2 linked regions of the Nothobranchius furzeri genome follow. The protein of the gene in region 1 interacts with the protein of each later gene in a biochemical or structural test. Links are inferred from orthologs where the notes say so. Each region holds a gene or a part of one and is shown on either strand. Other genes may lie near its edges.

Region 1 (4,337 bases):
TAGGCTGTTCTGGGGTGATGATAATTACAAGTGACCAGGACAATAAGGTCGCGTATGGAGGAACTAATACAATGAGAAGACACATTTGTACAAATAAAGCTTTAAGCCCCCCTCCTTTCTTGCAATGAATGGTTGAACAAGAACAGCCCTGGATCAGGGTGAAAAGAAAAATCAGCCAAAACAAAATTGTCATAGCACACGGTCAGCCTTACTGGAAAATAAAATAATTATAATAAATTAGAGATAATTAAGTCATGCAAGAACAGTATTTATTCCTCATCATTCAGGTTGCTGAAAAACAGGTTGAACCTGTTTAATTTAAATGTGGGTTATTTGCATTAATTGGCATGCAGAACTAAAGAAGAAACTTGAAGAAAACCCTAAAGGCAATAAAATAGTCAGATAACATATGAGTTAAAAGCGCAATAAATCCCCACAAATAGTTTTATTGCTACTGGGTTTCATGAACTTTGTTTATGTAGGAGAGAAGGGAGCGCGTTTTGTCGCGGGACGATAAGACAAGGTTTTGTTGCAAGCTTTATCACAGGGAAACATCTGCAACTCCACCGTGAGCGCTCCACGAACAGGTGCTGTTACTTCGCTCTTGTCGCATGCAAACCCTGTCTTATTGTTCTCTCCGTCCGAATGCCAACACTCTCCTTCTTCTTTTCATAGGAAAAAGAGAAGCAATGCACATTGCTCAATGGAAAGTGTTCTGCGCGCACGACCAGGCTGTGTGTGTGTGTGTGTGTGTGTGTGTGTGTGTGTGTGTGTGTGTGTGTGTGTGTGTGTGTGTGTGTGTGTGTGTGTGTGTGTGTTTGCGTGTGTGTGTGTGTGTGTGTTTGTGTGCGTGCGTGCGTGCGTGTGTGTGTGTGTGTGTGTGTGTGTGTGTGTGTGTGTGTGTGTGTGTGAGGAGGTGGGTAGTACTTCACTATAATTGTGTAAATGTTAACACCACTTTGTTGCGCACATTTGTATTATATTTTAATTATGTATAGGACAAAACTGAACTAAACGCGGGAAGTTATTCAATTGACACGTATTAACTTTTAATATGCCATTTATTTTTATGGTGCATTCAATGTAACACTGAATTTATTTCTTAGTAGAGTGAGCCCAGTGGTTATTGTTTTATTTTTTAGCTAAAATTTAAGTTTACTCAATTTTAGAATGTAATGTTTTACCTCGTTGCAAAATTTCTTTCATTTCCATTAATCACATTTTTTTTTGTGTGTTTTTAAATACAGATAAAGAAAATTACGACTGCAAGTGGAGTAGACGGTGTATTGAGCATGCGCACTGGAGCGAAAAGCCTGAGTAGCGCCAAATTGCCCGGGATGCGAAGGAAGGGAGGGAGGAGGAACTCCCCGGAGTCTGCCACACCAGTTTAAGTTAATGTCAGCCTCCTGGTCGCTGGGAGAAGAAGCTCCGCGCTGACAGCGAAGGTACATGCTCGGCACCACCTGCTGGAAGCCGCTGTCCCGACTCAACAATGACTCGGCGGCCGAGAAACAGGTGGGCTTCCACTGAAAACTTACTTTAAACCTCATAATTCAGAACTTTTTCATCATATTTCATCGCAGTTGTTGTGTTTTTAGCGTGAAGCGGAGCACTTAAAGGTGCATCTTTTCTGACAGGGCACGCGCTTTTCCCTAAAAGCAGAAGGAGAAAAGTTAGATAATTTTCGTTGAGTTATTATTATTATTTTTGTATTTGTGAGTGTTATGTTTTCCTTGCGAGGGAGGCTCGCGCCAATGACAGGTGGTGGTCATCTGGCATGTGCGCTCCTCGCGCTGCTGTCACGGTGACACACACGCGCGCTGATGCCACGCTGCGGAGCAATACGGTGAACAGACGCAGGTGTTTCAAAGATATCGCAGATATTATGCATACTATTAGACTGAAAGCAGTTTCAGGGTTTGTGTTTTTGCATTCTGGTGTGTTGCGTTCAATGCGGCCGCGAACGCATTCTGTTACTTTCGTTTTCGTCCCATTTAACGCATAACTGCTCAAATGAATCCAGTCTAAAGGTCACTCAGCACCAGCCTGAAGTGTTCAGCAGCATCACTGAAAGCAAGAGGCGCTCGGTTATTTTGGAAACAGCGCTTTCACAACGTCCTCAACAGCGCGTGCTCTGTTTACTAAAATATTTAAAGAAAAACAAACCCACCTACCTCAAGTTAGACGGTCTGTGTCTTTCTGATCATTATGACATAAATTCTGCTGTTCAGAATCCCATCGATGGTTTTCAGTTCCATATGGATGTTAAAATGAAATATACTCACTTATAACATGATAGAAACCATAAATGCAATACGTTTTTGAATCTATCTGTAATGTTGTGCCCAAACAAGGTTAATCATGATGTCTCTGATCTTGTTTTATTACATGTATTCTTTGTGCTGTGCATCAGGGGTCTCTTGTATGTTTGTCAGTGGATTTTTTGCTGCTCATTAAGTCAAAATGTCCAGTTAATGGATAATAAAAGAATAGGAGGACGATAACACAATAAATAACCTTGACTGACACCGCAGAGGGGGGTTGTACACCTGTTGCTCACTCTGAAGCTACCTAGCTTCCACATTCTTTTGGTCCGACATCTTGATTGGTTAACCAAACACTGTGTGTGTGTGTGTGCACGCTGTACAATACCTGTGCAGGTCTGAACACGCCAGGGTCACAAAATTATGATCACATGTGCCAATCCCAGTATCTGTGGAAACCAAAAACACTGGAACCTGTTCATCCTTCTCCCTCCCTCCCCTCCTCCCTCCAGGCTGCTGTTCTTTCCTTCGGTCTTTTTTTTTTCTGCTTGTGGGTGTCTTGGCTCCAGGCCTGCACCCAAACCTTCAAGAATGACTGGTTCTCTGTCTGTCTTTGACACCTGATGAGCTAAACAGCGGGTTGACTTCTTTATGTTCTCTCTAAAGAGCTTATTAAGGAGTTATGTATCAATAGACATAAAGTTCATTCTCCCATTATTATCAGATATCATGCAACACTTTTCACACAGACTCCACCTCATTTAATCTCTGACCTTTGTTTATTTCTGCAGTGTTTACAGCAGCGAGGAGGATGAGGAGGAGACAGATTTGTATGAACACGACTATGACGGGTCACTGGCCAAGACAGGGAAGCGTCACCTTGGCAAAACTCGCTGGACGCGAGAGGAGGTATTCAAAATTCAACTTTTTGCCGGCATTCACTCTAGGAATGTGTGAACCCCACGTTTTAATGCATTTGTTACTGCAACTGCAGCAGATGTTTGACCTCTTCAGCAAACATGTTTTCTGTCTCATTCAGGATGACAAGCTGAAGAAACTTGTTGAACTTCATGGATCTGAAGACTGGAAAGTCATTGCAAGCCTACTAACTGTAAGTAGCTTGCCTTGGAGGTAAATAAATGATGTGAAAGCCAAAAGCTGAGGTGCATCTCCATCAGAGCTCTGGATTTAAATATGCACAAAATAATAAAATGCCTTTTTGTGCTCTAAACCACTCAGAATCGAACGGACGTGCAGTGCCAGCACAGGTGGCAGAAGGTTCTCAACCCAGAACTCATAAAAGGACCTTGGACCAAAGAGGAGGACCAGAGGGTAGGAAAACATAGAAGTGATGATTAATAACATCAGTTTCCAGAGAGCCATTAACATCTCTAGGAACCTGCTAGAAACAAAAGTAGGGTTTTTACTCACAGGAAATAAGTTGTAATGTATAAGTTGTAATAAGTTGTAATACTTTATGTTCCTGTTAGATTAAAGCAACCCCCTCTGTGGCAATTCTTTGTATGCTCTTGCACATTTTTTGTTACACAACATATGTCTTGTTTAATCTCATCCAAGCAGCGGGTGTTTATTGAGCTAAATCTAAGGAGTTGCATTTCCAGCCAGATGCCACTGAAACGATTAGCAGAGCGGCTAATGTTGCACAGGAAACTCCCTCGGCCCTCTCTGGCAGGTGTTCTCTCTCACCTCCGAGAAGAAAGTCGAGGGCCGGGGAGAAGCCTCATAAAGCTGTAAACATCTCTAACAGCTCATGCAGCTTTATTAAACTTTTTATTCTATTTGTTCTTTCATCCCCCCCCCCCCCCCTTACTGTCATATCTTCACTCCCCCTTAACTTCTCCCTCTCCTCACTATTATTACTTTTTCCTTCCCCTTTCCCAATCCTCTGCCATCTACTTCCTTTTCATTGTTCTTCCTCATGTTCTTTTGCCCTTTCCTCTTTTTTTCTCACCCTCAAACCCAAAAACCACCACAGGTGATCGAGCTGGTCCAGAAGTACGGAGCCAAGCGCTGGTCGGTGATTGCTAAGCACCTGAAGGGACGGATCGGGAA
Region 2 (3,819 bases), on another chromosome or scaffold:
GTGATCCAGAGTTCGTCTGGGTAACAGGAGCTTCTGCAGCCAGAATGCCACCAAATCAACCATTTATTCAGGTGGAATAAAACCCAGACCCACATGTTTTTAAACCCAAGCATAAGTTTGATCCCAGGCAAAAATAGGATATCAAAACCCCCAACCTCCCATTATCCGGCAATGTGATGGCATCATGTAGTAAGTAAATTTTATTTGTTTAGCACTCATCACAGACATGGAATCACAAAGATCTTCACATAAATCGAAATAAAACATAAATCATAAAAGAATATTTAGATTAAAATCAGAAAAATTAAGTCATAAAATTATATAATACCATAAAACAAATGAAAGAAGATTTCTAATTTGAGTTAAAAATAAGAAAACAAAAGATTTAGGTAAAAGCAACTTTAAATAAAAGGGTTGTCAGCTGTTTTTTAAAAGTGTGCAGACTGCCAATGCTACGTAAGGAAAAAGAAAGAAAGTCGAGGTGCAACAGTCTGGAAGGAGCGATCACCTCGACTTTTATATCTGGTCCGTGGAACTTCTAGAAGGTTCTGGTGGGTGGACGTGAGGGCTCGGGTTGGAGCATAAGGCTTTAACAGTTCAGTAATATAGGGAGGAGCTTGACCCTGTAGATTCCATCTTTCAGTTCTTTTTAAAACACAGAAAAGGTTTAATTACCTGCAACGTTTCGTTTGCGGCTGCAAACATCATCAGGTTGACGCCGTTGACCATGTAGAGCAGGGATTCCCAAGCTGCCGCTAGGGGGTGCGCAAGGTGAAAAGTGTAATGGCTGCGGAGCTCAGAGAAGTCTGTCAAAAGTCACCATAAAAGGTTGGTTTATGCTTGACGCGTCCGCAAGGTCCGCGCGGAAAAGTTGCGTCATTTTAACAACCACGCCCCTCCACCGCGCCTCCGCACGGCCCAGAATTTCCGCAACGCACACATCGGAAAATGTCTAACCACGCAGACGGTCGGACGCGGAAAAACATGGCTGACTGGCAAGAACTAGTATGGCAGAGGTTCGTAAATACAGACATTTGTATGATTCAGCTCTCAGAGATCACCGTGATCAACATGTTGTAAATAATTCTTGGAGAGAAATAGCTCGCACTGTCGGAAAAGACGAGGACGCTGTTAAATATGCTGGAATACCATGTTGTAAACAGTAATTTCTACTTCTACTATGGTGAAGTGTTGGGTGCATGCCGTAGAGCTCCATGCTGCCCCGTTCAGTTTGGGAGAATATTGGCTCACCGCAGAGACGAGCCGCACGAACCATAAACGCTGCGAGTTGTGAAGCGCGTTCCATCCGCGAGCCGCATCACCGCGCGGAAAGTAAATGCGTCAAGCATAAACCAAGCTAGCGTAGCCAGAAACTCATTTGTGGGTGGACCTAAGAAAATGTAAGTGGGCCCAATAAATGTAATTGAAAACAAGTATATTTTGCTTGTGTGTGTGTGTGTGTGTGTGTGTGTGTGTGTGTGTGTGTGTGTGTGTGTGTGTGTGTGTGTGTGTGTGTGTGTGTGTGTCCTCCGCACATGCCCTAGCTCAGGAGTCGGCAATCCGCGGCTCTGGAGCCGCATGCGGCTCTTCCATACATCTGATGCGGCTCTCTGTGTTTGTAAAATAATTAATGGATATTTAAATAAAATGCTTTATATTTTACTGCATTAATTTTACATCTGTAAGCTAATTCTAAATGTAAAGATTGTCTGCGTAAACCTGAACAGTTCCAACCCGGTCTTACTGTGAGACCGGGTTGACGCATCACGCTTGTGAGTAATCATATTGGCGCTTCCTGAGCTGAAGACGATGTGAGATTCTGGGACTCTCCTCAGACGCCACATTGGAGACAGGAACAAGCACAATTCAGCCAAAGTTTCATCATCAGGGAACATTTTCTAAGTGACAAGTCTCTCTGAGAGACCGGGTTTGGAAAACTCTCGCTTCAGTGGAAGGAATCTTCCCGCATGCACTCTGGTTCTGCAACGCGCTCCAAGCCCCTCTCCACATCTTCAGCTTGCTGTGCACCGTACGTATGCACTGACAGTGAGCTCCGCTGAGCGGTGTCCAGCTCAGATGTTCAGAAGGAAATCTTTTCTTGAGTGATTTAGTTACATCTGCGATTTGCGAAACGAGTAAAGTGTCAGTTCGTCTGCATGTGTTGGGGTAATTATTTCTATTCTTTCTCCGTCAAAATAAACGGCCAAATATGGGAACTGTCAGGTCAACACAAGCCCTGCTTTTAACTGTTCTGTTTTCTTGTGAAAATTGTTACAAATTTAACTTGATTACCACCAGAGCCAGGCGCACTGCGCCGTTATCTCCGTCACTGTAAATGAGGGAAAAACAAAATGATCGGATCCTTTTCTGACCTTCCCCACCTACAAAGTTTAATTACAACAATCAAACGTGACAGAGCCTGGATTTGTATTCTGAACAGTCTAAACATGTTTTAAAAAGAAACGTATGACAAAAGTGGCACCTGCTCAGTAAAACCACCAACAGGGTGAAAAATATCAAAATATTGTCGGCAGAGACGGGCTACAACTTCCGGATCCACTTTATATAAATCGTTTTATTGATTATCTTCTTATGAAAGATAGCTTTGACGTACACGAGCGACCGGTACTGGCTGCTGTCACCTGTTGTGAGCAGCGCTCTGCTGTCTGAGGGTAGGCCCCGCCCACAATGCCGCGGCTGCTGCGGTGTTTTCTTTACTGTGGGAAACGGGTAATAATGGCTCTTTTATGGGAACAGGTTGCCGACCCCTGGTTTAGCGTGACGTCTGATATATATATATATATATATATATATATATATATATATATATATATATATATATATATATATATATATATATGGGGCTGGGGGTGCGTCAACATGGTCGGGACATAGAAGGGGGTGCGCGGCTAAATAAGTTTGGGAACCACTGATGTAGAGCCCTGATAGTTCTAGTCAGGACTCTAAAATGAACTCTAAAGTTAACGGGTAACCAGTGCAGAGACATCAGAATAGGAGTGATGTGTGCTCTTCTGTTTGCTCCAGTTAGGAGTCTCGCTGCAGAGTTCTGGACCAACTGAAGGCGGCCAAGGGCTTGTTTGTTAAAACATGTGAAGAGTGTGTTACAGTAATCTAGACGGGAGGAGATAAAGGCATGGAGAACCATTTCAGGTTCATGTTTTGACCCCAACCTTCACAGTTTGGAGATATTTCTTAAATGATAAAAACAGTTTCGGACCAGCGTTTTTGAGTGACCTTCAAGAGACATTGATTGGTCAAAAACACCCAAATTCCTTAAGTTTGTCCCGACGGCAGAAGATAAATGACCAAGTTTTAGACTAATCAGGGGAACCCTGCTATCTTCTAGCCAGCTGGTGATAGCTGATAGACACTAGTAATTCAGACAGTTTACATATGTAAGGTTCAGTGGAGTGGTATGTGTGATTTAATGGTTTTACATTTGTGTTCAGTTGGATTTAATCACTGACCTGTTGGGAACACCTTCTATGGAAGCGATGCGGACAGCATGTGAAGGGGCTCGTGCACACATCCTCAGAAGTGCTCACAAACAGGTGAAGTACTTTTAAACAAGTATATAGACTTCTGTCTCTTTTAAATCCTTAACCCATTAAATAACACCAAACAGACACCTGACTAAATCATGTCATCATTATCAGTCACTTTGGGAGACAGCTGCAGAGGAGTGAAGTTCCTGCTGCGTATCTGGAGGGTTGCAGGCTTGCTGCTGGCTCACTAGTGTCCTTGAGCAAGGCACTCTGCTGGTGGTGTCTGTGTACAGCAGCACCACCCCGTCAGCAT

Evidence for each region.
Region 2: of the proteins of myb (region 1) and nlk2, one has a biochemical effect on the other in vitro, tested with the Homo sapiens proteins (2 studies listed by BioGRID, with this or other methods). The link is inferred for Nothobranchius furzeri from reciprocal best matches to the Homo sapiens genes MYB and NLK.

Annotation. Positions count from the first base shown.
Region 1 is NC_091742.1:436,798-441,134, reverse strand, and holds the start of myb (transcriptional activator Myb), read left to right. Parts: upstream 1-1,261; 5' UTR 1,262-1,492; coding exon 1,493-1,515; intron 1,516-3,055; coding exon 3,056-3,173; intron 3,174-3,303; coding exon 3,304-3,375; intron 3,376-3,503; coding exon 3,504-3,596; intron 3,597-4,260; coding exon 4,261-4,337. UniProt on the Homo sapiens protein: Transcriptional activator; DNA-binding protein that specifically recognize the sequence 5'-YAAC[GT]G-3'. Plays an important role in the control of proliferation and differentiation of hematopoietic progenitor cells.
Region 2 is NC_091753.1:61,281,601-61,285,419, reverse strand, and holds part of nlk2 (serine/threonine-protein kinase NLK), read left to right. Parts: intron 1-3,470; coding exon 3,471-3,572; intron 3,573-3,819. UniProt on the Homo sapiens protein: Serine/threonine-protein kinase that regulates a number of transcription factors with key roles in cell fate determination. Positive effector of the non-canonical Wnt signaling pathway, acting downstream of WNT5A, MAP3K7/TAK1 and HIPK2.